Linked DNA regions of Macaca fascicularis. The protein of the gene in region 7 purifies or fractionates together with the protein of the main gene of each other region. This does not show direct contact. Links are inferred from orthologs where the notes say so. Each region holds a gene or a part of one and is shown on either strand. Other genes may lie near its edges. The genes, in order: RAB40B, RAB40C, ASB6, CUL1, TULP4, ASB1 and RNF7.

Region 1 (4,194 bases), on a different chromosome or scaffold from region 7:
GATCCCAGGGAGGTCAAGGCTGCAGTGATCTGCAATCCTCACCACTGCCTTCAGCCCAGGCAGCAGAGAAGACCCTGTCTCTGAAAAAATTAAAAACAAATCATAATGATCTCAACTTCTTACTATTTTTCAGAGTAACTTTTCTTAACCCTAAAACAAATGTTTGGTAAATAAAAAACCTGCAAGGGTACACCCACGATAGCAGTTTTTTCTACAGCAGCTCAGGCCAGGTTGACAACAAAGCTTTTGGTGGGAGGCGTCTTTTTTTTTTTTTTTTTTAGATAGAGTTTCGCTCTGTTGCCCAGGCTGGAGTGCAATGGTGCGATCTCGGCTCACTGCAACTTCTGCCTCCTAGGTTCAAGCGATTCTCCTGCCTCAGCCTCCCGAGTAGCTGGGATTACAGGCATGTGACACCATGCTCGGCTAATTTTGTATTTTTAGTATAGACGGGGGTTTCTCCATGTTGGTCAGGCTGGTCTCAAACTCCTGACCTCAGGTGATCCGCCCGCCTTGGCCTCCCAAAGTGCTGGGATTACAGGTGTGAGCCACCGCACCCGGCCCGGTGGGAGGTTGTATTTTTAGCCTAAACCCTCTCTCCCTGTCAAGGGAAAGCATTTAGGAGAAAGCATTGGTCCGTTGTTTTGGGTCGTCTTCAGTTCAGCATGTAGCAACCAAAAGTCATGCAGCAGAAGCATCCCTGAGCCGTCGTTCAAACCAACCAGAAGGAAGTTTCACAAACATTCTGTGCGTGGCTCTCCTCACGCATGCCCCATGGCACTCACCTTCAATCAAACTCAACACCGTCAACCGTCTGCTCCCCCAAAACACGCACAGCTCTTACAGGGCCACATTCGTCTGGGCTACACGTTGTCGGGTGCTCTATTCCTCTAGCTCTGGTAGGGTTCATCCCTCACTGAGCCCAGACCCCGAGGGCACCGTGCAGACAAAGCCCCGTCCTCCAGGCGCTCAATCTCCAGGGCAGCGCTGGCCCCCAGACTTTGCCACAGCGACATCCGAACTATCTAGAAATGTGACTAATGGAAGCTTTTTGTTTTGTTTCCTTATAATGACACTTCCACAGCCACACGTGGCTCATGGCATGTGACTGGACACCACGGTCCTAGAGACCTGCCGCTGAGCGGGGAGTGGGGTGGGGACAGGTAAAGACGCAGACTCCCCTCCTGCCCCACGGAGCACACTCTGCACCTGTCGGCTGCGAGAGACTCCCCGGCGTGCTGCAGTTTAAGGAAGCCTCTGGGTGCTGGTCGTGAGCCCAAGCCCATCCCAGCTGCTCCCCCAAACTCCTCACCCCCTTCCCTAAGCTGAGGCGTGGCCGGGCACCTGAGTCTCACCCCACGTTCCACAGTCTCAGGCCACCCCCTCCAGCCGTGCCACGCTCCCCTCCCTTGGTCCTCATGCAGCCTGCCTGGAGCTGCCCGTAGGAGACGGCCTGCACCCTCTACTCTGCAGCCTCAGATCCCGCTTCCTCCCACCCGCTCTGGCAAAGCTCGTCTCTGGCAGGACCCTTCCCAGGCCCCAGAGCTGACAGGGCCTTCCCACCAAGACTCCATCTCCAAGCCTCGGCTCCCCTCCTCCGCCTAGGACCCAGGGGGGGGGTCTCTGTTGGAAGTGTGGGTTCAGCCCCGAGGCGTGGCAGGCAGGTGGGCACAGCGGGGCTCCGTCCACAGCCGCAGGGTCGGCCTCGTCCGCGCGGTTCCAGGGACGCGGGTGGGTGAAGGCCCCGCCTGCTCCTCACTCCCGGCCGAGGTGTCCGCCTCTGCGCATTCCCCCTTCTCCTGGTTCCTGCCTCCGCCTTTCTTTCCCCGGAGCCGTCCACCCCCTCGCCGGGCGCCGGCTTTCAAGCCTCAAACTTCGGGGATCCCCGGGCTGTCTGCCTGGGAGCTCTGTGCGCTGCGGCCTCCCCTCGCCCTGGAACCCCCTCTCCGGCCGCTGTCGTGGGGGGTCCCCTCTTCCGCACGCGAGTCACCTGCGCTCCTTCCTCTCCCCCGGACACGCGGGACCCCTGGCCTCGGGACCGGACCCTGGTCTCCCCTCCCCTCCGATCCACGCGCAGACCCAACACCTGGGAGCCTGCTCGCCGCGCTCCGCCCCAGGCGCCCCGGAGCTCGCGTCCCCTCCCGCCCCTCCCGCCCCCGCGGCCGAACGCGCACGTGCGGACCCGAGTCCTCCCCGGGTCCCCGCGGAGGCGGCCCCAGGTCGGGAGGGGCACAGCGACCGGCCCAGCCGCGGGCTCCCGCTGCGCGCAGACTGCGGAGAAGGATGGAGACTGCGCCGCGGGGGCCTCGAGCGGAACGGGGGTGCCGGGTGTAACAGGGACGGTGCCGGGTGTAACAGGGACGCCGCCGCACGAGGGCCAGGCCGGGCGGAGAAAGGCGAACCGCGCTCCTCCTCAGCCGCGCGCCCCCGGACCCGGACTCCCACCCTCCCCGGGCCCGCGCCCCCGCCTCTTCCCGACCCCTCCCCGGCCTCGTGCCTCCGAACCCGGACTCCCACCCGCACCCCCTTCCAGCCCCGCGCCCCTCCCCGGACCCACGCCCGCACCCAGGCGCGCCCTCCGCCCGCGCTCACCCGCCGGGTGGCCGTACGGGGACTCGGCCGCGCCGTCCTGCAGGCTCGCCAGGATCTCGCCCTTGCCCACGTCGCTGTCGCCCACCAGCAGGAACTTGAGCAGGAAGTCGTAGGCCCGGACCGGGCTGCCCAGCGCGCTCATCGTGCCGGCCCGGCGCCCCAACCCATGCCCGGCCTGCGGGGCTGCGCGCAGAGGCGGCGGCCGGGCCCCGAGAGGCGCCGCGCGGGCCCCGAGTCCTTGCTTGCAGCCGGCCCCGCCCCGCCGCCCAGCGCTGACAGCGCGCAGCCCCGCCCGGCCCCGCCATTGGTGGACCGCAGTTGCTAGGGCGGCTGCGCATTTTCATTGGTGTGGTTGTCCGTCCATCTTACTCTCGTCGCCGCCTCCGGGCTGAAGCCCAACCGCCCCTCCTGGAAGGACGCTGTCGCCGCAGCCAATGGAGGCCCGGAGACGGAGCAGGGGCGGAGCCAGAACAAACAGGAGGCGGGGACTCTGCTCCCGCAGCCAATGGCGAGGCGGGGCGGGGGCGAGTAGGGGGTGGGGCCGAGTGTTTACACTCTCGCGTGCGCCTGTCAGCGCCGCGAACTCGCTCCCACGCCGTCGGGTCTGCACGCCCCGGGTCGGGCGGGGCGTGGGGCCGTGCTGGGTCCCGGCGTGGGGCCTCCCCACCTGCCCACCAGGGAGACCTCCGGTGCCGGGCCGGGTGGGGCTTAGGGGGTCGGTCCAGTTCGCGGACGCGGCCGGAAGGCCCCCCGCAGGCCGCCTCGCCGCAAGAGTCCCTGTCGCCGTAGAATCCAGGCTCGCGGTCTCTCCCCACAGTTCATCCAGGGCCTCGTCCTTGCCCCATTTACGCGGCGTGCCTGAATGCCTGTGTGTGCACATGCGCCTGTGTACGTACGCATGTGTTCGTGTGTGTGCATATCTGCGTGTGCATGTGTGCCTCTGCAGGTGTCTGCACATGTATGTGTCTGCGTGTGCACGTGTGCCTCTGCAGGTCTGCACATGTATGTGCATGTGTGCCTTTGCAGGCATCTTTGCATGTGTGTGTCTGCGTGTGCTGCTTCTGTCTATGCATGTGCTCCTATGTGTGTGTGCACTTGCTTGTTTGTGCATCCATGCATGTGTTTGTGTGTGTGCTGGAGAAGATGGGGTGGGACCCCTCCAGCCTTTAGGCTTCTCTTCTGCTCTCAAGAGCAAGGGGTGCCAGGGCGAGGCCTGCCCTTCGCTCTGAGGGTCTCACCAGGTGCACACTGGTTTATTTGGTGCAAAATTCAGGCAGCAGGCAAGCGGCGAACTCCGTCCAACAAGAAGGATAATGCCTCCCCCACTTCATCCCCTCCACCCTGCGTTGTGTAGGGAACTGCTCTAGACCCCATCAGAAGTTTTTTGGGGGGAGGAACAGAAGAAGGAGCAGAAGAAGAATTACAAAAGAGACTGAAGTCAAGATTATTATATTTGTCATTTGTACTCATTTGGACCTGGAAAATGTTTACTTCGGAATGCCAATTTAGTTTGCATCACCTGTTCTTCTTCATTGATTGATTAGTTGCTTTAGTTACTAATGCAGTCACCTTTTTTTTTTTTTTTTTTTTTTGAGACAGAGTCTT
Region 2 (4,005 bases), on a different chromosome or scaffold from region 7:
CGTGTGAGCCCCCAATGCCCCTGGTGGGCCTTACACTTCCCCCCACCTAAAAATGGACCCAGAGCTCTTCCTCCCTGGCCCTTTTCAACCCCTCCTCCAGGCTGAGGCCAAGAGCACAAGCTTCCAGAGCCCCTGGTGCTGCTGCCCACTGCTGAAGCCGTGCCAGAAGGAAGCGCGCTCAGCGTCAGTCCAGGTAACCCCACACTCTGCCAACCCCTGAGTGAGAAAGTGGGGGATGCTGTGCCCACACTCTCAGCAGCCAAGGGCAGGCGACTCAGCAAACAGCAGACGCTCAGGGCAGCCAGACAGGACAGACAAGAGCCAAGAAACAAAGCAAGGGGAGAGGGCAGGGACCAGGAGAGGTAAGTTGGCCAGTGTAGATGGCATTCCCTGAAGCGCAGATGGACTCTGGGGAGGCTGGATGCTGACTGCTCCCAGTTCATCCGGGGCCACCCAGGTCTTCTGGGGAAACATCCCATTCAGTCCAGGCCCCCATGAGGGGTGATGAGGACCACGCCGTCTCACTGACCCTGTTAACCACTTTGCTATGTTGAATACCTAAATTAAGAGGCACGCTCAGGCAGGCAAGCCCCAGAGACGCGCTCTATCTTGTGTATTTTAGCCATGCAACTGGAAGTTAAAAACAAACGTTCAGGCCGGGCGCGGTGGCTCACGTCTGTAATCCCGGCACTTTGGGAGGCCGAGGCGGGCAGATCATGAGATCAGGAGATCAAGACCATCCTGGCCAACATGCTGAAACCCCGTCTCTACTAAAATACACACAAAAAATTAGCCGGGCGTGGTGGCGCGCACCTGCAGTCCCAGCTACTCAGGAGGCTGAGGCAGGGGAATCGCTTGAACCCAGGAGGTGGAGATTGCAGTGAGCCGAGATTGTGCCATTGCACTCCAATCTGGCGACAGAGTGAGACTCCATCTCAAAAAATAAAAATAAAAAATAAAAAAAGAAAAATACTCAGTAACTCATTACAGAGGTATTTTCTTCCAGCACAAAGTGTTGACTCCCTCAGCTGTAAGTAAATACCTCAGGGGAACAGTCTGCCTATAACGACCTGTCATCTGTGCATGCTCGAGACAGGGTCCCAAGAAGAGTCCACCAGCACCTGCCACCAGACCTGGGTCCCTGACACCTTCCCTCGGACTCCAGATAATCCAAGACCCATGACACCTTCCCTTAGACCCATGATGCCTTCCCCCAGATCTATTACACCTTCCCTCGGACCCCAGATGATCCTAGACCCAACACACCTTCCCTTTGGCCCATGACGCCTTCTACTGGGCCCGTGACACCTTTCCCCAGACCCCAGATCCTGGACCCATGACACCTTCTCTCAGACCCCAGATCCTGCACTCATGACACCTTCCCTCAGGCCCACGACACCTTCCTTCGGACCCCAGATGATCCCAGGCCCATGACACCTTCTCCAGGATCCATGACACCTTCCCCTGAGATCCTGGACCTGTGACACCGTCCCCCAGACCCCGGGTCCATGGCACCGTCCCCGCTGGGCGCGCCCCTCTGGTCCGTCCTCCTGCTCCCCGGCGTCACCTCGGGACTGGAGCCCGGGAACCCCGAAGCCGCCGAGCCACCGGGTCTGGAAGCCAGGCAAAGGCGTTCCTGGGCACGTTCGGCGGCGCTTGGAAGGGTCGGGCCGAGGGCGAGCTCCGCGCCCAGCTCGCCGGGTTCGGGCCCCGCGTAAGCAGCGCGCGCCGCGGGCTGGGCCTTACCGTTACTGTAGGCGTACGGGGACTCGGCCGCGCCGTCCTGCAGGCTCTCCAGGATCTCGCCCTTGCCCACGTCGCTGTCGCCCACCAGCAGGAACTTGAGCAGGTAGTCGTAGCTCTTCACCGGGCTGCCCTGCGAGCCCATGGCCGCGCAGCCCGCGCCCCGCGCCGGCCGCCTGCCGAGGCACCGCCGGGTGAGGCCGCGGCGTGACAGAGCCCGCGCCCCGCACCTGCGCCCGTTGCGTCTGCCCCAGGGCGGCCGAGTGGGCGCGCCCGAAGCCCCGCGCCGGCCCCGCCCCGCCCGTCGCCCGGGCGCACCTCAGCCTCGCCGCCGCCCCGCCGCTTCCCGCACCGCCAGCGCCGCCGCGCTGCCTCGCCCCCGGCCGCGCCGCCGCCATTGGCCACCCTTCGCCCGCCCTCCCAAACCCATTGGCCCATCCTCCCGTCCGTCACGGTTTCCCCGCCCTTACCGCGTCCTACACGGCGCCGCCAGGCCTCCTGTCGCACCGCCTCTTCCACGCCCCGCCCTGCCTTCCCGTCGTCACCATAGGTCGCCCGCCGTTCTCTTTCCCTCAGCCATTGGCCTGTCCTCCCGTCTGTCATGAACGCCCCTCCCTTTCCCACACGGCGTTGCGGAGACAGCGGACGCCGGCCTCATCGCCGTCGCCATTGGCCACTCGCCTCCTGCTTTCCCGTAACCATTGATTCGATTACAAGTTCACCAGGATCATTCCCTTCCCTGCGGCTGCCTCCCAGAGAAATCCCAGAGCCACCGGCCGCCCCGCCCCCGGTCCCCAACGCTGTTGTCCTCGCCCGCCCCCTCGCCGGCCGGCGCCATTGGGCCGCTTGCACGTCCATCACGGCTCTGCTAACCCCGCCCCTTTCCTGCACGCTCGCCAATCAGGGGCTCGGAAGTCCAGGTTGTAGCAGCCCCTTCAACGCGCCGACAGGCGGCAGGATGCAGGCGCGCTCGGGCCGAGGCGAGGCAGCTGAGTCTGGGAAACGTAAGCCCCTCGCAGGCTGCGCCGCCTGCTACCGCAGAAACCTCGGCGGAGGCGGTGGGGTGGTCCTGGGCGTGTCCTCCCCAAGGCCGTGCGGCCAATCGGCGCTCGGCGGGGCGGAACTTCCTTTACGGGGCGGGGGCGGGACTTCCGTCCGGCGGCGGCGGGGCGGACCCTTGGGTCACCACTGAGTCTGCGAAGGCGCTGAGGTTCTGGGACCCCGCGGCGTCACCGAACTTGAGCCTTCCGCCCGGGGACGCGGCCGCCGCAGCTCGGGACGCGGGGAGCGCGGCCTGCGCGAGCTCAAGACCCGGCCTGACGTGCTCACCGCTGCAGCGGCGCCTCCTGGACGGGGACCCAGGGCCCGGACCGCACTCTTCCCGGGGGCGCCGCCGAGCGCTGGTCCCAGCAGGGCCCGGCAGTCGCAGGTGCGTGGGCGAGCGAAGCTGCCGCGTTCGCGGGCCCCGGCGTGGGGTCAGGGGTTGAGTGGGCACGTGGTTCTTTCTGGGGTGACGAAAAGGTCCTACAGTCGTGGGGATGGTCCTTCCGTTCTCGGTGAAGTTACTAAACGTCAGTGACTCTCGCAACGGGTGAGCTTTGTGATACGTGCTCTGCGCTCAGTAACGCTGTTACAGTAGTAAGTAAAAGCAGTAACGTCAGCGTCGACCCAGCGCAGCCCTCTCCAGACCGGGTGCGGAGCCTGTCTCTTCTGCCCGGCCGGCGAGGAGCAGAGCCCGGCAAGAACCCTCCTCCCGAGGGACCCCGACCCGGGTTGTGCCTCCGGGAGCAGGTGCTGTTCACACAGAGGGACGCCAGGACGGGCGGCCCCACACTTCCAGTGACCTCCCGTCCCCCTAGAGCTGAAGACACGGCCTTGACTAAGCGGCGACCACATGGACACACCAGTTTTTTCTTTTTTTTTTTTGGGATGGAGTCTCGCTCTGTCGCCCAGGCTGGAGTGCGGTGGCGCGATCTCCGCTCACTGCAAGCTCCGCCTCCCGGGTTCACGCCATTCTCCTGCCTCAGCCTCCCGAGTAGCTGAGACTACAGGCGCCCGCAACCGCGCCCGGCTAGTTTTTTGTATTTTTTAGTAGAGATGGGGTTTCACCTTGTTAGCCAGGATGGTCTCCATCTCCTGACCTCATGATCCGCCCGCCTCGGCCTCCCAAAGTGCTGGGATTACAGGCGTGAGCCACCGCGCCCGGCCAGTTTTTTCGTTTTTGAAACAGGGCCCCCCTCTGTCGTCCAGGCTGCAGTGCAG
Region 3 (4,244 bases), on a different chromosome or scaffold from region 7:
GAAGCTGCTCAGGCCCCTGCCCAACGCTGCTTCAAAACAAGCTGGACCTGGCACTTACCCGGTCCCTCCGATTAATGTCAGCGCCGTGATGCACCAGCAGCTCCACCATGTCCGGCTGGTTCCGCAGGACGGCGATGTGCAAGGCCGTGTAGTAGGTGACTGGATCTGAAGGCACAGATGCAGCTCGTGTGGGTCCTGCCTATCCGTATTCTCATGGGGCCCCTGGACCCAGAGCCCAGCCCCAAACTCCCACCTAAAGTGTCCAGAAGCAGAGGCCCAGCCTCCTGTCACCATCAAGGGTTAGGACAGAGCTGTCCTCACCAGATACTAGAGGGCCCTCGGGGTGTTCTAGTGGGCACACTACTGAAGCTGTTGGGGCTTTAATTTCCTCTTCTGTAAGAAGGGACCATAAAATGGGGCGCGCACTCTCAGAATGGCTGGGAGGCCGCACTACACAGCACCTCCATGGCTGCTCCGCTCTGTAGGCCTGGTGGTAACAGCCACGTTCTCCAAGCTGGTCTCCAAGTCACTGGCTTCAGAACTGGCCCTCCCGTCTCAGCTCCTTGGGCTCCAGGAGCCCAGCAGCCTCCAAGCCTGTCTTTGGATGGGGAAAGGAGACATGCCTGGCTGTCTCAGGCCCCCATTAGGTCACAAGGCAGCCCTGCCTGTCCCCCTACTAACCCTGCCCTCCCTGGGGTGAAAAACAGAGAGAAAGGAGCATGGCTCCATCTCCATCCCTCGCACTCAGAAGCTGGAAGCCAGCGTGTTCTGTGGTGATTTATGCCTAATGCGGCCTGTTTTCCCCTCTCCCTATGGCATGAGGAAAAAAACACAAATTGGCTCAGAGTAAGTGGCAGAAAATTACCTTCCCTTAGCTCTGGGCACAATGCCAGTAGCTGCATTTTCGCATTAATGGAAGTGGGGATTACTCTGGGAGCTGGGGAAAGTTTGCTAATCAATCACATGGTAGAAGCAGCAACACTCGCCCGCCCTTGGAACAGAGGTGGGGAGAGCCATGTGAAAACCCGCAGGATTTGGGAGGCCACCCAATGGGAGATTCCTTAGTCACAGCCACCCAGGAAATAAAGCGGGGGGAAGTCACTCCTCAGAGGATGGTAAAAGCCAAGGCTGGGGACATGGACGCCCACCCGGCGCAGAGCCACGTTTAAGTCGCCTGCCCACCCCCGGGGCTCTCGCTGACCTTCAAAGTTGAGATTGGCCCCATGCCGCAAGAGAACGTCGGCCGCCTGGGTCAGCCCCAGCTCAGCCATCTTGAGCAGGGCGTTGCTCACACCTTCCTGGTAAAAAGGAGAGTGGGCTTTCCTCTCCAGCAGCTCAGTGAGAACAAGGATTCGGTTCTCCTCGCTGGCGACATAACTGGGCCTGGGGCAGAAGAGAGGCTGAGGGTAGGCACAGCTGTGGGACCGGCTGATCGGGCAGCCTGTGGGTTGGTGGGCCTTAGTGTCCTGCTAGAATCATCCGCAAGCAGGGCCCTGGCTCTGTGGGTCACAGAGGCTTGGCAGAACCTCTGAACTAGAGAGAGGGCCAGGCTGCATCTCTTAAGACGGGAGCAGACTCGGATTTGCGGAGAATGGGCTGGGTCTGTCTGCGCTCTCCTCCCGCGTTGCCCAGAGTTTGGTCGCAGACTTGGGTACAAAGCCTCACACACCTGGGCTGCTGGGACTGAAGGGAACCCTGGAGGCCAAGAGCCCAAGCCCGACTTTGATGCTCCTTCCTCAGAAAGCCCTTCACCCTCAAAGCTGTAGGACCCCAGCCCCCGCAACCCCTGCAGCCAGGACAGCAACACAGCCTCCCCGCTCCTCTCACATGGAGGCCTTTAGCTGAAATGATGAAGAAAGCCTACGTTTCCACCCGAGTCCCTGGATGGGGAGACGACTCATCACCACGCGTTGTAAATTCCAACTGACAACCCCCGCAAACACCTGAGCCCCTTCCCTGTGCTCTCTCCTCCCTTCCACCTCGCGTGCCGCCGCACAATTACTTGTCAGTCTCTCCTCTGGAGCACACGCGCCAAGGCGGGGATTTTGCTGAGCCAGTGATGGACCCCAGGCGCCTAGTACCATGGGCAGTGAATGCGGATTCGCTCCCGACACCTTTCCTGCAGGTCCACGACAGACCAGCTCTTGTCTATAAAAACGCAAACTCTGCTACAAAAGCCCACCTTCACACTGCTCTGGGGTAACATCTGAGGCCTCACGGATTCCACCCTGCTCCCCTGCCACGCCGGGGGGTGGCACAGCACAGGCAGGCGACAGGGTGGGGCCGAGGCGCAGGCCCTGCGACACCCCGCGAGCCTCCGCCCTCGGGCCCTCCCTGCCCTTCGCCTCCGCCATGCAAGGGGCGGGAGTGCGATCCGCGCGGGGCAGCGCGAGCTCGGAGCCACGCAACCCCGGCTTCCGCCCGTCCCTTCCTCTGTCAAGGGGGACGCATCCACCCCGCCCGGCTTGTGGTGATAAAGTGGGACGCCGCAGGGTCGGAGCGGCCTCGGCCAGCTCACGGGAGGGGGCGACTTACCGGTCCAGAGACTCCTGCCGCTCGGGGTCCTGGATCCCCAGGGAGCCCAGAATCGCATCCACCAGCGGCTGGTACTCGAAGATGATCCTCCGGAAGCCGTGCAGGAACGGCATCGCCGCAGGCCCCGCGCAGCAGGGCGGTCGCGCTTTCCGCCGAGGCCGAGATGCCCAGACGCCGACCGGAGCGCTCCGGCGGCCGCGGAACCCACCTGCTCCCTTGGACCAGCCCTTGCGCCCGGCCGGGTCCGCTCCTCAGCCCAAGCCGCGCCCCCGCCGGAAGTGACCCTCGTACTTCCTGCCCGCGCCGACTGAGGGTGGCCCGCATGGCGACAGCGCCCCCTGCGGGCTCGGAGGACCTCGGCGCGTCCCAGGGCACGACTGCCAGGCCGACTGGGGCGATGTCCAGTAGGCGGCCCCAGCGGAGTGGGGGAGTGGGGGATCGAGCCCGCCAGATCCGAGACTCAGGCGGGCCTGCCCCTCCCTGCCAGGGCTGGGCCCGGCTCGGCTTCGCCCTGCGATCCTGCCCGCGACCGCTGGGCGCCATCCGAGTTCCGCCGGTCGTGCTCCCCAGCTCAGCCGCTGCCCCACTTGCGCTGGGCGCCCCTGAGCGCTGAGCTCATCAGACAACTGCCCCTTCCGGCTCGGCCTGGCCCTCGCCTTCCCTGAAGAGGGGCTGGGCCACCTCTGTCACCACCCAGCCCGCTGACTGGAATGATGAGGACCAGGGTCCTCGCACGTCCCCTCCTCAGTTTCTTATTATCTGTCCCAGGGAGCACCTGGCCAGGACAGCTGCCAGCTCTCTCCACCTCTGCCTTGATGGACTCAATGAATCTTGTGTATTTTTTAATTTAATTTTATTTTTTTCGAGACGTAGTCTCGCTCTGTCGCCCAGGCTGGAGTGCAGTGGCGTGATCTTGGCTCACTGCAACCTCCGCCTCCTGGGTTCAAGTGATTCTCCTACCTCAACCTCCCGAGTAGCTGGGACTACAGGTGCCGGCCACCACGCCCGGCTAATTTTTGTATTTTTAGTAGAAACAGAGTTTCACCATATTGGCCAGGCTGGTCTCAAACTCCTGACCTCGTGATCTGCCCACCTCGGCCTCCCAAAGTGCTAGGATTACAGGCCAGCCGCCCGGCCCGAATCATGTGTATTTTTTAGAGACAGGGTCTCACTCTGTCTCCCAGGCTGGAGTGTAGTGATCACAACTCACCGCAGCTTCGAACTCCTGGGCTCAGGTGATCCTCCCACCTCAGCCTCCTGAGAAGCTGGGAACACAGGAGTGTGCTACTGCCTGGCTCTGAACTTGGATTTCCTCATCTGTAAAATGGGTATAATCCCCAGCACTTTGGGAGGCTGAGGCAGGCGGATCACCTGAAGTCAGGAGTTCGAAGCTGCAGACCAGCCTGGCCAGTATGATGAAACCCTGTCTCTACTAAAAATACAAAAATTAGCCGGGCATGGTGGCGGGCACCTGTAATCCCAGCTACTTGGGAGGCTGAGGCAGGAGAATCGCTTGAACCTAGGAGGCGGAGGTTGCAGTGAGTGGAGATCGCACCATTGCACTCCAGCCTGGGTGATAAGAATAAAACTCCGGGCCGAGCGCGGTGGCTCACGCCTGTAATCCCAGCACTTTGGGAGGCCGAGGCGGGTAGATCACGAGGTCAGGAGATCGAGACCATCCTGGCTAACACTGTGAAACCCTGTCTCTA
Region 4 (4,200 bases), on a different chromosome or scaffold from region 7:
AATCAGCTCAGGCATGCGTGTCTGTCTTCTGATGTGGTACACACATTAGGAGTGGGGGGTGGGGCTGCCTATAAGGACCTGAGCATGTGGCTCTCAGGGAGGGAGGCTTTCATAAATTGGTGAAAAACCTAGCATATCTAAAGTTAGTTTGTTTTTTTGACAAAACCGTTTTTAAAAGATAAGTCAATGAGAAAAGAAGTTTAACGTATTTAGAAAGCAATTCAGCCATCCCTCTCAAGCTTAAGGAACACTCTCCTGAAACCTCCAAAAATGGGCATAATAGAGTTAAAGCGAGCCAGTCTTACGTTTGCATGCTTTGGAATTTGAAATGCAGCGCAACTATTTCGACTCACCATAGAAAACAACAAATAGAACCTTCAAGTAAAACATTTTTCAATATCCAAAAACCTTCTTTAAACAAAGAAAAATCTCACCTCCAAATATTTTTTCCAAACACAATAACTGGTTTTACATTTTAAACATCATTACATATTTTACTACATAATACACTCTACAAGATTTCAGAAAATCGGGTACATTTTCGTGTGCACCATGAAATGAAGTGTTCAACCTAAAACTGCACACACTTCTGCGAGGCGTTAAGATATGCTTAGGTCCTAGAAGCTCAAGGCTTGAAGTAAAAAAGGAATCTAGTTCCTCTTCTGCCGCTTCGTTAAGTGCATTCCAAAAAGTGTGATCGTTTACTCCACTCAGAACTTTTGACGATTTTAATGCTACTACAAGAAAGAGCAATTACACTGGGCAAATAAATATTTAAGTAGACTGCAATTCAGTATTTGCGCACTTACCACTAACCCCTACTACGAACCAGAAGCAACCAAGAGTGACCCAATCGGAAAAGAGAATCCTCTTTTTGGCAAAGCTAGGCAGAGAGAAAACCTTAACTTTGGGGATTCATTTCAAGGAATGTCTACAAGCATTCCTCTCTCTCTTAATTATCTTATGTCTGCTCTACACAATATTGCACGGGCGGCAGAAACAGAGGTCTTTCAGATCTTGGGGGGAAAAAAGCGCACGACCCCCGAGTCTGAGGACCCCAAGTCCCAGCAGCCTGGCGGGCACACGTTTACCCTCAGGGTCAGGGCGCGCGCTCCCGTTGCGGCCGGGGGCGCGCCGACGCCGCGGCGCAGGGCCCGGCCCGACTCGCGAGCGCTAGGCGGGCGCCGGGGGGCTCTGTCCGGTTCGGCCGCCGGGCTCGCATCCCTGCGCGCATGCCCCGGCCCATAGCCCCAGGAGAACGGGGCAAAAGGGCGACTGTTACCCAATAATAGCGCCCTGCACGTTCGCAACAATGCAGGCAGGGAACCCGAGAGCCGCGGCAGGGAACCGGAAAGCGAGAGAGCCCGGCTCGGCGGCTGCTCCTGCGCGCGAGCCCAGGGCTCACAGGGGAGCACGCGTCGGCCGGAAAGCAGCGCTGGGGAGAAGCGTGGGCGCGAGGGGGCAAGGGCACGGGTCCCGGCGTCCCGCGGAGGTCGCCTCACGAGGCGAGGCGCGGACGTCCGAGCTGCCCCGTGCCACACGTCGGCCCAGCTTCCGAGGGCCCAGCCCGGTCGCGGCGGGGAAAGGTGCCGGCGCCACCAGGCCGCCGCCTCCAGGCGCGATGAATCGGGCTTTTTCCCAGTGCGTAGTCCAGGCCTGGCCGCCCCGGCCCGTCCGGGGTGACTCAGGGCCCGGCCCCGCTCGCTCTCCTGCCGCCCTCGGCGTCCTCTGCCCACGAGTCCCCCGGCCCGGCCGCCATTCCGCCCGGCCGCGTTTCGGCTGCTCAGGCCTCGCCAGGCGCCTGGGCTCGGCCGCCGCGGCCCAAGTCACTGCGACACCGCGGCTCGGGGCCGGGCCTGCGCCGCCGCCGCCACCTCTTCTCGGCCCCGGCGGCTGCCGACACTCACCCGCATCCCTGTGGTGCCCCAAAGGCTCCCGCGACGCCTCCGCCTGGTCGCTGGGCCTGGGCCCCGGCGAAAGCCCCGTCCCGCCAAGGTCTGGCTGCGTCCCTCAGCCACCGGGGCTGCCCCGCCTGGAGCTGCGTGCGACACGGCGCCCGCCTCCTCCTCCTCCCCTGCCCGCCCGGCCCTCCTCCTCCCGCCGCCGCCGCCTGCACCACGCAACCTCCGCCCTCTCGCCTTCCCTCCGCGGCTCCCCGCCCTCTTCGGCCTCACCGGCTCCGGCGACCGCGGGGGAGAAGCTGTTGGGGGAGGGCCGGAACGCACCGCCATCGGCGTCCGGGGCGGGGGAGCCGAGAAACCGTCGTCGCCATCGCCCCGCCAGCCCGAGGCGCGGGAGGGGCCCGGAAAGCTCCCGCCCGCCCGCCGATGCCGGCGGCCCCGGGGGCGCCCCTTCCGCGGCCGAGGCCCCCGCTAGCGTGGGGAGCTTCTACCTGCGAGCCCGCGGCCCCTGCCCCGGACACCCGAGCCATCCCCGACCCGGGGCACCGGATTCTCCGCCAGGTTTTACAGCCTCCCTCGCCTTGGGGCCGCCGCGGAGGACCCCTTCCCGCCACTTCGGACCTCGCGAGCGGGGCTGAGCTGCTTGGGTCGGGGACACCACCAGCCTCTGGAGAAACGGCCTGAAGCACCCCGAAGGAGAGGGGGTCCCAGTCCCCCCGCTCCTCCCCTGTGCGCACACCGCCCCCCCCAGCTGGCCTCGAACCTGACTCCCCACCTTTGTCGACCGGGACTGGGGGATGCACCCTAGATCAGAAAGTCAGAGGTGGCCAGGTGGCCCTCCGAATCGGCGCAGACTTCCGAGGAACCTGCAGCCAATTCTCGATCCCCTTAACACCTGCAAGGCCTTAGGAATCGGCTCCAGAAAGCTCGAGCTTATCTGCGTGTCTCTTTTTAAAAATCACTTATAAGATTAAACCTAACTAGGCTTTCCCTTTCAGACTTTCACTAACTCCTGTTTGGCAAATTTTGACATTCACTCTATCCTTCGTCTTTGTAAGGACAAATCAAGACTTAGAAGGCTTTGATTACATACACGGATGGCATGAGTCGTGATATAAAGTAGTATTGTTTTCACGTGTAGTTCGAAGTCATCTCATTTGAAATTAACTGTCATAATTGGCTATTTGGAATATTCAACCTAAAGCCTATCCGCTGCTGTGGTGACGGGTGGAGGAAGCGTTGTGGAACCCCCACATCTAGTGAGGGGTGGCTTATTAATACCACGGCTCACAGCATAACAGAGCGGCTCATTCCATGAACAACCCCGGGGGGATTTCGAACTCTATCATCTGGGCAAAAGATGTAATGAGTGTAACTTCCTGTTTTCTCCAAACGAAAACACTACACAGATTCCTGTACCACTCTGGGACAGAAATCCTCAGCCAGAGCAGAGGGCCGTCGCCAGAGTCCACACTGTTTCCTGCGTAACGTGGGTTTGTCTCTGAAGAAACATCCCACTGGTGTATGTGATCCCCTCTATTGAAATGTGGTCTTTTATCCACATCTCAGTCTCTCTAGAAGTAATGCATTTGTATGTACTTGTCACTCAGGTATGTAATCCCTTAATTTGTGCGGGATGTTGGGGTGTGAACAATTCTTGGTTTACATCCTACACTTTTGAATAACCTCGTCAAAACTTAGATGTATTTAACGCTTTTTTTTTTTTTTGTGAGCACATGGTAAAGTTGGAAGTAAAAATGGAAGGTTTATCCCTGTGGCCCATGTTTTCCAGTGTACATATGTGGGTTTTTAAAAAAAAAAAAAAGTCCCAATTTCTTCCTTTTACTGGAAACTGCGTTTTTTAGACAACTTAAGCTTCCTATTCCCTAACCAGTCTTCTCCAATCTTACCATTCAATATGGCCTCCTTTTCTGTGACTTCCTCCAGCTGAATAGAAGGGCTGAGTGGGTCAACCTTCCCTTTATTGTTTGTTTCCTCCACCCTCTATTTTTCCTTAATAGCAGTATTTGGTCCATCCACACCACCCTCCCTCTTCTCACTGCCTCCATTCCTGGTTCTTAACTCCTTTCTATTCTTTACTCTCCACCTGCCTACATGATCATTTTTAGCAGCAAATTTATTCCATCGACTTTTATGTCCACTTAACATCCAGATTGCATTTACTTTGCGCAGATAACCTTGTCTCCTACCTCACAGGTCAAGGCCACCTGCTGCTGTTTTCTACTTTAAAACATCCTTCCTCCATCTTTCTCCCCCAGCTCAGCAAAACTGATGTCCC
Region 5 (3,500 bases), on a different chromosome or scaffold from region 7:
AGAGACGTGTCTGCTTGGGGAAAGCTGGCCTGCTCACACAAGTGAGATGGGTTCTTGAGGGCAGCCTGCTGCTTGTCTGTTAGCTAAGGGTACTGTTATAACTTTTCAACTAGCTCACTTTTGAACCTTCTAAACTTGGCACCAGTGCCTCAATGGCACCATCACAGATAATTAAATGTCTGAAGAAGCTTTTTACTGGTGATATTCATAAAACACCCATCCTTTTATGCAGGAAGAGGGCAATGGTACAGGAAAAACCTCCACTGAGGACTCGCAGTGCCTAGGCCTCTGAATTAGGTCTATTCATGCTTACGGGATGGATAGTGTGGCAAGTGTCACGCAAGAGATGTGTATAAGAAATGTATGCATATTAGATTTCTGTAAATAGAACCATGTAAAACGTAGTAGAAAAAACAATGAAAAGAATCTTCTAGTGAATCTGAGTATCACATCATGATGGATCATTTCCTAATTTTTTTTTTTTTTTTAGAGAGTCTTGCTCTGTCGCCCAGACATGCAGTGGCATGATTTTGGCTCACTGCAACCTCCACCTCCTGGGTTCAAGTGATTCTCCTGCCTCAGCCTCCCCAGAAGTTGGGACTACAGACGTACACCACCACGCCCAGCTAATTTTTGTATTTTTAGTAGAGATGGGGTTTTGCCTTGTTGGCCAGGCTGGTCCCCAACTCCTGACCTCCGGTGATCCACCCACCTCGCCTCCCAAAGGGCTGGGACTACAGGTGTGAGCCATTATGCCTGACCTTTATCTGCTTTTTAGCATTTCAAACAGTATGTAAGGTAGAACCACGCTGAATTAAACACTATAAATATATCCTATTTGTACACAGTGAGAGTTTAACAGAGCGCGCGTTTGAACAGTGATCTAGAGACAGGTGCTCAGAGCTGCTGTCTGCACGGCCCTGTTTAAAGTGCACACTGAGCACTCTGCAACTGGCTCCTCTAGGCCCACTGTGCCACCCTGTGGCATTTCCCTTAGAGAAAACTGCCACTGATCCAGAAATCTGAGGCATGGTGTAAGTACTATGTGGCAGCTAGTCTATGATTAGGAAATGTGACACTGGCTGACTTTTCATCAAAAGAACTACAGAATCAAGCCAGCCAGTTTATCAGAAGCTAAGCTGGCCCTTCCTTGGGGGTCTCCTAGTGAGACATAACTCTCCCCTGGCCGCACAAATTTGGGTCTGTCTCACGTTTCCTGTCATTCCTGTTCAGATGCCCTTCGAGAAGCTCTCCTGTCTGTATGAAACACTGATGGCAGGCATCTTCCCCTTTAAGGAAGAAGAGCCTCTTCGCTGAGTCACCATCATTAAATGTAATCCCTGAGACAATATGTTCCCTCCTCTCATTGGGAACCACAGACAATAAGGACAACAGCAGCAACAGCCGAACCTTGGAGAGGGCTGTATTCGTGCATTTTGGGAGAACAGGGAAAGCGTTAAGGGGAAAGTTTAAAAGATACTTCTAATTCCAAGATTCTCAAGTAAAAGGGGATGCACTAGAAAGCTCAGGTATGGGAGGCTTCACCAAACTACAGGTATTTATGTGGTTGTAAGCTTGGCCTATTAGGACCACATAAGCCTAGGAGATTTGCTCACCCATGCAGGAGAGGTCACCATCAGAGAAGCAAGATGGCTATTGTTGGAAAATGCAGTAGAAATCATTTTTTTCAGGTAAAAAGACTGGGCTGAGAGAAGGTAAACAATTCCCTCAAGTTCAGAGCCCGACTGAGGAGCAGGGCCCGAGCTGGAATGGGTGGCCCTCTATGTCCACTGTGAGAACCAGTCCCTCGGGTCACAGACATCCAGATACTGGAGAAGTCACGGTCCATGTCCAGGTTCCTCTAGCTCAAAAAATGAAGACTTCCAGAGCCCTGCTTAGTTGGAAGTAGAGGAGTCTGTGTATCTATAAAATCTCAGGTGGTCTTTTACTTAGAAAAGCAAGTTATTTTCAAGTACCCTCTAGCAACTGAAATAGTTACACACACTAACTGGCCAGACTAACTGGAAGTCACTGTAATCCATTAATCAACATAGGATCCTTTAAGAATCCCCCCGCCAGGAAACACACTAACTTAAAATGCTATATATATTGATATTTACCATCTGAAAACTGGAATTTAAAAATCGTATACCAGATTTTATCTTGAACTCAGGCCAGGGTCCTGTGCACGGAGACATGTGGTTGCAGTGGAGGAGATGTGGTTACAGGTAAAGGCTTTTGTGTCCTGGACACAGGGCAGATTTGAGAAACTAGACTCTGTGGGCACCACGGGAATGCTGGAATGAGACAGTATCTCAGCAGGGATTGAAAGGATGAAGGCTGGCCTTGATCAATGAGACTGGGTCTCAGTTCTGATTTTATTTAGTTCCAATCAGTCCCACAAACTTACCTGAATCCAGACACATGACTAAGAGGATAGCTGTGAGGATAAAGCCAGATGGTAGAGCTGTGCTCCACAAATACAAGGCACCACTGCCACTGTAACCATCTGTGCTCCAGCAGCCCCGCTCCTGCCAACACTGGTGCCAACCTGTGACTTTTTCCCCTGGGACACGCCATCATATCTACCAACCTTACTGAGGCAGGAATACCTTTTCTGAACCTAGGGAGCAGACTGAAACCTCAACAACTTGCCACTCTGTTCCCTTTGCACGATCCACTGACAGAGGGACCGTGACAAACAAGTTGATGTATGTGAACACACCTGGTAAATCATCTTCATCTTCACTGAAAACATTTGGGTTGAAGACAGGTAAATTAATATAGTCCATGGAAATTTTCCGAACTTCTGGGAGATAAATGGTCATTTGCCGCGGTTGGAGATGCAGGAGGCTGGTTTTATAGATTACTGGTGGGGAAAAAGAAGGGCACAGTTAACAGAGACACACCAGAGTAGAGCCAAAGTGTCAAGAGAGTCACGGGAAGAAGAGCACACTGCAGTTTCCCTGCCATCAGAAGACAGATCTGTGTAGGCAGGGTCCAGAGGCAGAGAGGAGCTCTTCATTTCTCCCTAGTACTCAGTACGACCATACTAGCCACGGTTCTGGATTCAGTAACAGCAGATTCCTGGTCTAGCTTGGCCTCCTTGCCAGTGGATTGTCTACAGAACTACACATTTCAAATGTCAAAAACATTTTAGACATAAATTATTTCTTTTGGAAAGAGCTAGGGTATAAAAACATATTTTTCAAAAACCTCATTTGCAATCAGAAGGATGATTGAATGGAAATAGTTGTGACAACCAGAGTGCCAAACAAGGGAAGCTTGAGCAACCCAGGAACCGTGTGAAAGCAATGTTGAGATGGGGGTGGCATGGTTTCATATAGGAATAAAACACAGCCTTCATTTCAGCTGGAGCCTTGGCTTTCAATTTTAATCTAATCATCAAGATAGAGATTTATAGGGAATTTCCACACAGTTTTTTTTAAAACCTCAAGATTTAATTTGATTAACAGGGACATTAGGAGAAGGCCCAGATT
Region 6 (4,151 bases), on a different chromosome or scaffold from region 7:
ACCCGGGTAATTTTTTGTGTGTGTATTTTTAGTAGAGACGCAGTTTCACCATGTTAGCCAGGATGGTCTCAATCTCCTGACCTTGTGATCCGCCCACCTCGGCCTCCCAAAGTGCTGGGATTACAGCGTGAGCCACCGTGCCCTGCCTATTACACTCTTAAAAGACCATGGTATCATCATGTAAACGTAACTTATATATGCACTGGGAAACCAAAAATTTCATGTGACTTAGTTTATTGCAGTGTTCACTTTATTACAGTGTTCTGGAACTGAACACGCACTATCTCCAAGGTATGCCTGAATGTGATAAACTGGCATCACAATCAGCGAGAATGGAAGAGTATTCAACAAATGGCGTCTGTACAATTAGATACTTATTAGGAAATAATTGAGTTATTCAACTCACATCATAACCCAAAATAAACTCCTGAAGATTTAAGAGTTTTGTAAAAATAGTTACACAGATTCGTGTGTAAGTAAAGAGCAAAAACTCAGACTGCTTGGATTCAAGTCCCTGCTCTGCCATGCTGTCCTAGTGTGAGACCAGACAGGCAGGTATAAAGCACCCCCTCCATAAGGGGGCTCTTTCCAGATGCTGACATTGTTTTTGTATTAAAATTAAATCTCTTTTGAGTACTACTGTACATGAGACTCAACCACAGGTACAATGGGGGTGATCAGTAAGTGTCCATGGTCTCCGGGGTTTGAGAGTCCATTGAGTTGCTCATGCTGATCCCACAACCAGACCAGCCGCAGATCAACAAGCAGGCATGAACAGCTTTTTAGGCCACCATCCCAACCTTCCTTCAGTAATTATCCTCCCCTGTAATTACTACACAGTTGCAGTTACTATAGGGTGAAAAAGTCCAAAGTCGGAGTGGGAAAGATTCAGGTGTAGGGTAACAACCAACAGGTAAATGGCGGCCACAGGACTTTTGTTGAGCCCTCTTCTGGGCCCCCTCTCCTGGCCTCTGTGCTATCCATTCCCGGCCCTGCTCAAAGCAGACTCAATCTTTCCCCAGCTCCAGATTTAAAAGCAACTTCAAGTTTGTGTTTTGCTGATCAGCTACTCCAAGGACAACTTAACTGCCCCAGAGAGCACTTAAGCTTCAACTGAAAATCTGTTGCCCCTCTACCCCAGCCCTGAAACACACTGAATAACAAAACAGCAGTACATGAGGACATAAAAAGGAGCCCTCAGCCGAGTGTGGTGGCTGCCGCCTATAATCCCAGCACTTTGGGAGGCAGAGGCGGGAGGATCACCTGAGGTCTAGAGTTCGAGATCAGCCTGGCCAACATGGTGAAACCCTGTCTCTACTAAAATACAAAAATTAGCCGGGCATGATGGCCAGCATCTGTAATCCCAGCTACTAGGGAGGCTGAGGCAGTTCAAGTTCAATCGCTTGAACCCGGGAGGCGGAGGCTGCAGTGAGCCGAGATCAGGCCACTGCACTCCAGCCTGGGCAACAAGAGCGAAACTCCGACTCAAAAAAAAGGAGTCCTGTGCAGCTGACAAAGCCCGTGTTTCTTCCCCAGGACCCCTCTCTATACTGGGAAGTAGCTGTTAGTCCTCTTTTTCCCACAAACACCTATCATTCCGTCTTTCACTCTCACAAGAGATGACATCCTAGACCCTAAGGTCCTGGCTGTCTCTGAAGTCAAAGTCAATGCCAACCAAAGCCCAGGATGGTAGATGCTTTGTCTGGCTTGTTCTGGTCACTGCAGTATTCTCTGCTGGGTCTAGCCAACAGCAGGTCTTCAATACAAGTCTGTTAAATGATTGGAAGGAGGTGGGGAGGGAAGGATGGATGGAAAAGCCTGTCTGCACCAGTCTCCAAGTCAATCTTTTGAGATTTTTAAGAAATTCATTGGTTTATTACTAAGAAGGAGAGGGACCCCTCCAAAGACAAATATAGGCATGTAAAGAAAGCCCAGAGCACATGAAACTATTGGCGCTAATGGCAAGCTCAGAAATCCGGCAAGAAGGAACTCCCACCACATCACTGGGAAAGGGGAACCTGTCCTGACCGCTTCCTTCACATCTGCACGGTAGGGACACTTCAAGGTGGAGACTCTAAGTAGGACAGTTATTTCGGAAGGTGGGTGTGGGCCTTTCTGGCTGCCTCCTTTGCTGGTGGGCCAAAGGCCCCTGGACATGCTGTGTCACTGACGAGCTCGCTGGAGACGGCGTCCCCGTCGTCCCTGGTCTGTGCCTGTGGGAGGTGGGAAGGCTGCCCCGCTGTGCCACCAGACACGCCATGGGCGGCAGAATGGTGAAAAGGTGCCTGCCCTCCCTACGGCTACCCTCTGGCTGGCTTTCCTGATCCGTGCGCTCAGAGCTGGAAGGTGGCCCACGTCCTACTTTTGCGGTTGGGTCATGTCAAATCCATATCGGCTAACCGGAGGGAAGTTCCACCGGAACGAAAATCTAGCGCGGGGACGGCACTCGAGGCCGAGGAGCGGGCAGCGCGTCCGTGGTGGGGTCGCCCAGCACTGCGAGCCGCGCTGACCCCCACCCCCGGCCTGCGGGGCGCGGCTCCCTGGCTCCCCCGTGGACCCGGCCAGGACGGGACCAGGACGCAGGGCCTCGGCAGGGACGCCGGAGCCAGCCCTCCGCCATCCCCACAAGCCCCGCGGCCCAGCGGCCGCGCGCACGTTACCTGCGGAGCCCGGCCCTGCCCGCCCGTCTGGGCTGCCGCCCTCCGCCATGGGTGCTTCGGCCTCCGCGGCCGCCCCGGGCCCGCGCGCGCCCCTCGGGCAGGAAGGAGAGCGGCCCGCGACCACTTCCGGCGCCGAGAGCGAGGGGGCCACGTCGGGGTCGCGGCTTCCGGCGGGCGCGCGCCGGCCTCACTGGTTTCCGGGGCCGCGCAGAGGGCGCGCCTCCGCTTCCGGCCTCGCTGCGGAGCCGGGTGCTGGCTGGTCTTGATGTCCGGCTAGGACTTCGCCAGTAATCGACTCTCAGGATGCCAGCCGCGCTGTGGTTTCCCCGCATAAGAAGCCAAGGAGTCAGAAAGCGCGTTGCCTGGGGAAGCAGCCTGGGAATTTCGGTCGGGCGGGCAGTCCCCACCCCACGGACGGGGCGTGGCTTCTCCAGATGTGGGCGGGGCCCCGAGGGCCGTGGCTGGCGGGACCCGGGCCTCGGCCGGGCTGGCTGGGTCCCCGCAGGTGGGCCCTAGCCGCGAGCAGCCCCCGGGAGGGTGGATTGGGAGGCGCGGGGACTGGTGAGGGACCACCGCAGGGCTGAGCGTCATGGCGTGCTGTGGTTTTAGATGAATGCTCCCCCAAATCCCTTCCATGAAGCCCCACAATCAGGTCCGTAGCTGATGACAGCCGGTGGCCGACACGAAGTGCATTGAATAAATGAATGCATTCGTGAACAAGTAATATTTCTTGCACACTCCCAACCTCAAATATCGCAGCGTCGTCCCACCGTGAGTATTGGTGTTGGTCCTTCAGCGTGGATTCCCTTGGCTCCTCCCATTCTCCCCTGCTGTGTTAGCGGGGCCTCATGCAGGAGGAGGATTTGTACACAGCACAGCAGGAGGCTGATGAGGGAGTCCGGAGACCCCAGCAGTCGTGGGCGTGAGCTGCTGGCCCATCCATGTGTACAACATTCCAGACGGGAGTAAGGGAAGCCGCAGGGGCAGCCCTGCAAGTGCCCCCGCTGAAGCTGGCCCTGGGTGGCCCAGACCGGGTGGGCCCACTGGGGGCAGACATGGCAGGCCCTGTGGGGGGTGGAGGCAGGAGTAGGGGTACTTACTACAGTGGTGTTTGGACTTGTTAACAGCAGAAAGCACCACTGGCATGAGGGACAGGTGACTCCGATGATGACGCTGCTAGGCCAGGAGCCAGGAGTGTGCCCAGCCCCTGGCTCCACCACAGCCGCACATCTCAAACTCTTGGAGCTTCAGCAACTCTGAAGCCTGAAACCGACTCACGTGTTGTTGGATGGATGAATGGATAAACGAAATGCCGTCCATCCATACAGTGGACTGGTACTCAGCCTTAGAAAGTTAATGCCGTCCATCCATACAGTGGACTGGTACTAAGCCTTAGAGAGGAAATGCCGTCGTCCATCCATACAGTGGACTGGTACTCAGCCTTAGAAAGGAAATGCCGTCCATCCATACAGTGGACTGGTACTCAGCCTT
Region 7 (4,261 bases):
TACAAATTAGGAAAATAAGGCTCCCAAAAGTTACGTGAAATATCTAAGGTGATACAGTCATGAAGGGTTACCCTGGCTATTATAACTGGCTCTACTAGCAAACCTATTCAACGCTTTTCATCAGCACTTTGCTCACTATGCAATCATCACTCTTTTCTGAATGAAGGGAGGATAGTGGAAACGAAGATGAGAGTGTTACCCATATCAGAATGGGCTGACAGGCAAATCTTGGGAGCAGAAAGTATAATAAATCACAAGTGTGAGATAAATTCCAAATACTAAGGAAAGGGAACAAAGTGGGTTCTTGTTGCTGAATCTAGGAATCTCTAAATTACGCTTATAGCTCTAATGTAGATTATCAAAACTGACCCAAATCTACACAAATTCCTAAAGTTGCAGATAAAAGATAAAAATTTGCTTTAATGATCTTCCTAGAATCTAAAACAGCACATTTCTAAGGAGTACAATAACACCTTTTAGAAGGGTGCTAGGGTAAAGACTAGGAAGTCTGGAAAAAAAAATTTCCTTCTGCTGTCACCTGACCTCTAAGTGGGTTTTAACACCTCATAAACAAAATACAAAGGTCTAGCCTAGAATACTTTCCTGAACCCAAAGTACAGCTGTTTGCAAATATGCAAGACTGATCCTGTAGTAGCAGAATACTTGCTATAATTAGAAAGTTTATGATGAAATGTGTCATTTATAGCCTATACTTTGACCTACATTAAAATATCTCAGTAAAGTTTATTTGTTGCAAAGTTTCAATCATTATTTCAGGTTATACATTTCCACTTACTGCTTAAATGTTTTTCCTTCGGGGAGGAAATAGCTTTTTGGGAGAGAAATCTTTTGAAAATACCCTTTGGGAACATTATTTTTAAACTGAAAAGGAACTAAGTGAAAGTTTAGTTTCCTTTAAACTAAAGGAAATTTATTTAGGAGATAAAATGTTTAGCAAAACTTGTATTGCAAAAAAAAAAAAAAAAAGTCTCTTGGATCAGTTAAAAAATGCTTCCCAAACTGGAAACTATGATTCCTAAGTGAGGGTAGGGGCAGCTGTACTGCTGGCAAATAAACTAGATACTTTTAAAGCCTAATATGTTTTGTTTGTTTGTTTTTGAGACAGGGTCTCATTCTGTCACCCAAGCTAGAGTATCGTGGCAGTGGCAGGAAAAAGGCTCACTGTAGCCTCGACCTCCTGGGCTCAAGGGATCCTCCCACCTCAGCCTCCTGAGTAGCTGGAGGCCACCATGCCTGGTCACTTTATTTTAATTTTTAATTGTAGAGATAGGGTCTTGCGATGTTGCCTAGGCAGGTCTCAAACTCTTGGGCTCAAGTGATCCATATAAAATAAGTGGGTCATGTCTAATAACAAGGTCTTTCAAAAGTAAAAGGTAAAAATATCTGAATCCAATTGTTGTAAATCCTCTTTGAAACAAGCCCTTAGAATAAAAGACAAAAGAGCATAAATTGAGAAATCTCTTGATTCTGGTAGGTTTAAAGTCTCATCCCCCCTCAAGGACAGCAATTCTCTTTATGTTCTCCAATTCTCTCATTTTTCAAGACAAGTCAGTTTTCAACCTACAGAAATGTCTGTTTTCTTTAACTACCCTCAATAAAGAACTCCACTGAAGATGCTCTCACAGTAATTTTAAATGCCCTATCTGAAAATACAACTTGCATTTAAACAGCACTTGCTTTTCAAAGTGGTCTGAGATCTTAGAACCATATAAAATATAACAAGATTAAGCTGTTCTGAAACATTTTGCTTGGTCTAATATTTTAACTCCAAATATCACAGAAAGAGGACATATTTGTAAGAGGGTTCTCCACAAAGGCATGACTCAGAGCAGGGCAGTATCTTCTCCAGGAAATGACATCCGATATGGAGAGGGGGGTGTAATGGAGGTGAAGTTCTACATTTCTGAAAAAAGGGCTTACAATTCTTCGGCTTCCATGAAACTTAGATATTCTTGAACCACACTGTCCCCTTCAAGCCACGCTAGTGCTATCTGACCCGTCTTAGATCAATCCAGATTTAAAAGCCATTCGAAGAGCGGCGGTAAGCTAATCCGGAAATGCAATGGCTGTGAACACTTCCCTGTGTACCTCGAGGAGAACTAAGGGTGTCGTTTTGTGGAAGATGACTCCGGAGCATCACTTTGATGGTGACCAAGACTATTAAAGTTCACTGCTGAATCACGGCCTTTACTCTGTCCACCTTGCGATGAGCTTTTAGAACAGGGGCTGGCCACACAAACCGAAGTGTTTCCTGCTAGTTCCCAACAATCACCCGGTTTTATTTTCCTGGTCACACCCATCACTACCTGAAATTACCTTGTTTACCTCCGTTTATTGCCCATTTCTCTCCCTAGAACACCAACCACCCGGCGCCGGGCGCCTGTTGCACAACCCCTCAGCCCTCAGGAGCCGCAACAGGATCGTGGCTCCGCGTTCCTCCGGCGCCCGGGCAGGGCGACCTCCACCCACTCCCCAAGGCAGGGGACTTTCCAAGGCTTCTGGCGGGCGCCCGTCCCGTCCCAATCCCGAAGTCGGCTCCCGGAGGCCGCAGCGCGGCCCCGGCCTTGCGTGCAGCGCTTACCCATCACCTGGACCCTGCAGATGGCGCACGTATCGCACTCAACGTCCCAGCTCCACATGGCCACCGCGTTCCACTTCTTGAGGGAGAACATCTTGTCGCCTCCCGACTTGGAGCCTGAGCTCCCGGAGTGAGACGCCAGGGCGCAGGTTTCCTCTCCGTCTTCCACGTCGGCCATGGCGGCGCCGCGGAGCCGACGGCGGAGACGTTGGCTTGGGGTAGGCGGGAGGCTAGGGCGGCTCTGCCGGGCCGCCCGACGGGCCACAGCGCCGCCCGCAGGCCGCAGGCCACCGTGGTGCCCAGACCCCGGCCACCCACGATTGGCTGGCGCGGCCCAGTGACGTCACCGGACGCCAGCGGCGAGGGGGCAGGCAGGCCCCGCCCCCGCCCTCCTGGGGCGACCGAGCGGGCTTGGGGCTGCTCGGGGCTACGCTGCCGAATCCGCCTGCGGCGCTGCGGGGTGTTACGTCTGAGCAGGCGCACAGATTGTGCTGGAATGTGTGTCCTGCTTTATGGCTTCATTAAAACTACTGCTCTCAGAAATAATCTTGTTAATTTACTTGTTTGTCTCTTCCCTCCCAAGTGTAAAACTCTATCAGAGCAGGGAACATGTTCTTATCACCACATTGTCCTCGGTATCTACAAAATGCCTGGCCACAAGAGGCACAATTATTTCTTGAGTGAATTAATGATCTTAAAGATCTAGAAATCTGGCTCAGTGATTCTCAGACTTTTTGGTCTCAGGACTCCTTTTCACTTAAAAATTATTAGTCCCTTAAAGAGCTTTTATTTATGTAGGAAATGTATAAATATATATATACACACACACATATGTATGAATATATATACATATATACAATGAATATATGTACATTCATGTATAATGAATATTCATACATTTCCTGTATATGTATACACACGTACATAGAGATTAATGTTTCTTTTTAAGAAATTAAAACATATTTTTAAATGTATTCATTAAAAATCACAGTAATAACCTCATTAGAGGTTATCATTAGAGGGATAACTTCACATACCATGTAATTTCTAGAAACTCCCGTGTACACTCGTAGAATGAGAGTGAAAAGAGAGAAATAGCTCTAAATATTGTTAGGCAACTAGTTTGCCCTCTTTTGACCCCTAAAAGAGGTCAGGATCCCAGGAGTCCCGGTGTGTGGCGACACAACCCACACGTATTTTTCAGGCCCTGCTTCCTCATCTGCAGAGTCTCCATTCCTTCTGCTCAGTACATTTGAGCTAGTTTAACTTCCTCTTTTTATATGTAGGACTAATGAGGTCCGAAGAAGTGAAATGACAAAGATCACATTGTTATTACAGTAGTGCTTCTACTGCTAGCCCACCATCACATGTGTTTCCAAGAAAGCAGGCATCTCCACTGAAAAGAAAGCAGAAGCACAGACAGCCTAAGGAGATGCCTGATCCCACCGTCACCTAGTGGTGGACACCTACTCTGTCAAGTTTGGATTCTGAGCCTCTCGCCATCCCCTCATCTCCTGATACCTGGGCAAAAGGTAACCAGGCCAATGGAACCTGGCAGGGGAAACAAGAATGCATTAATCTATAGAAACATAAATATGGACGCAGGGTCACATTCGGTTAGATGGAAATGTGTATTTGTTGAGTGGTGTGTTAAGGGCTGTG

What was found.
Region 1: the proteins of RNF7 (region 7) and RAB40B purify together in Homo sapiens (affinity purification with mass spectrometry; 3 studies listed by BioGRID and IntAct, with this or other methods). This does not show direct contact. The link is inferred for Macaca fascicularis from reciprocal best matches to the Homo sapiens genes RNF7 and RAB40B.
Region 2: the proteins of RNF7 (region 7) and RAB40C purify together in Homo sapiens (co-immunoprecipitation; 4 studies listed by BioGRID and IntAct, with this or other methods). This does not show direct contact. The link is inferred for Macaca fascicularis from reciprocal best matches to the Homo sapiens genes RNF7 and RAB40C.
Region 3: the proteins of RNF7 (region 7) and ASB6 purify together in Homo sapiens (co-immunoprecipitation; 4 studies listed by BioGRID and IntAct, counting the BioPlex papers as one, with this or other methods). This does not show direct contact. The link is inferred for Macaca fascicularis from reciprocal best matches to the Homo sapiens genes RNF7 and ASB6.
Region 4: the proteins of RNF7 (region 7) and CUL1 purify together in Homo sapiens (affinity purification with western blotting; 5 studies listed by BioGRID). This does not show direct contact. The link is inferred for Macaca fascicularis from reciprocal best matches to the Homo sapiens genes RNF7 and CUL1.
Region 5: the proteins of RNF7 (region 7) and TULP4 purify together in Homo sapiens (co-immunoprecipitation; 3 studies listed by BioGRID and IntAct, with this or other methods). This does not show direct contact. The link is inferred for Macaca fascicularis from reciprocal best matches to the Homo sapiens genes RNF7 and TULP4.
Region 6: the proteins of RNF7 (region 7) and ASB1 purify together in Homo sapiens (co-immunoprecipitation; 3 studies listed by BioGRID and IntAct, with this or other methods). This does not show direct contact. The link is inferred for Macaca fascicularis from reciprocal best matches to the Homo sapiens genes RNF7 and ASB1.

Annotation. Positions count from the first base shown.
Region 1 is NC_088390.1:89,129,968-89,134,161, forward strand, and holds the start of RAB40B (ras-related protein Rab-40B), read right to left. Parts: upstream 2,801-4,194; 5' UTR 2,732-2,800; coding exon 2,590-2,731; intron 1-2,589. UniProt on the Homo sapiens protein: RAB40B small GTPase acts as substrate-recognition components of the ECS(RAB40B) E3 ubiquitin ligase complex which mediates the ubiquitination of target proteins.
Region 2 is NC_088394.1:1,340,285-1,344,289, reverse strand, and holds the start of RAB40C (ras-related protein Rab-40C), read right to left. Parts: upstream 2,801-4,005; 5' UTR 2,214-2,800; intron 2,092-2,213; exon of another isoform or gene 2,062-2,091; intron 1,920-2,061; 5' UTR 1,889-1,919; coding exon 1,747-1,888; intron 1-1,746. UniProt on the Homo sapiens protein: RAB40C small GTPase acts as substrate-recognition component of the ECS(RAB40C) E3 ubiquitin ligase complex which mediates the ubiquitination and subsequent proteasomal degradation of target proteins.
Region 3 is NC_088389.1:14,276,215-14,280,458, reverse strand, and holds the start of ASB6 (ankyrin repeat and SOCS box protein 6), read right to left. Parts: upstream 2,801-4,244; 5' UTR 2,649-2,800; coding exon 2,536-2,648; intron 1,384-2,535; coding exon 1,202-1,383; intron 166-1,201; coding exon 59-165; intron 1-58. UniProt on the Homo sapiens protein: Probable substrate-recognition component of a SCF-like ECS (Elongin-Cullin-SOCS-box protein) E3 ubiquitin-protein ligase complex which mediates the ubiquitination and subsequent proteasomal degradation of target proteins.
Region 4 is NC_088377.1:190,350,529-190,354,728, reverse strand, and holds the start of CUL1 (cullin-1), read right to left. Parts: upstream 2,801-4,200; 5' UTR 2,677-2,800; exon of another isoform or gene 2,540-2,676; coding exon of another isoform or gene 1,313-2,539; exon of another isoform or gene 810-1,312; intron 1-809. Other genes in the region: uncharacterized protein, read left to right, coding at 1,313-2,539. UniProt on the Homo sapiens protein: Core component of multiple cullin-RING-based SCF (SKP1-CUL1-F-box protein) E3 ubiquitin-protein ligase complexes, which mediate the ubiquitination of proteins involved in cell cycle progression, signal transduction and transcription.
Region 5 is NC_088378.1:66,836,665-66,840,164, reverse strand, and holds part of TULP4 (tubby-related protein 4), read right to left. Parts: intron 2,870-3,500; coding exon 2,726-2,869; intron 1-2,725. UniProt on the Homo sapiens protein: May be a substrate-recognition component of a SCF-like ECS (Elongin-Cullin-SOCS-box protein) E3 ubiquitin ligase complex which mediates the ubiquitination and subsequent proteasomal degradation of target proteins.
Region 6 is NC_088386.1:134,345,128-134,349,278, reverse strand, and holds the start of ASB1 (ankyrin repeat and SOCS box protein 1), read right to left. Parts: upstream 2,801-4,151; 5' UTR 2,710-2,800; coding exon 2,661-2,709; intron 1-2,660. UniProt on the Homo sapiens protein: Probable substrate-recognition component of a SCF-like ECS (Elongin-Cullin-SOCS-box protein) E3 ligase complex which mediates the ubiquitination and subsequent proteasomal degradation of target proteins.
Region 7 is NC_088376.1:44,567,004-44,571,264, reverse strand, and holds the start of RNF7 (RING-box protein 2), read right to left. Parts: upstream 2,801-4,261; 5' UTR 2,778-2,800; coding exon 2,603-2,777; intron 1-2,602. UniProt on the Homo sapiens protein: Catalytic component of multiple cullin-5-RING E3 ubiquitin-protein ligase complexes (ECS complexes), which mediate the ubiquitination and subsequent proteasomal degradation of target proteins.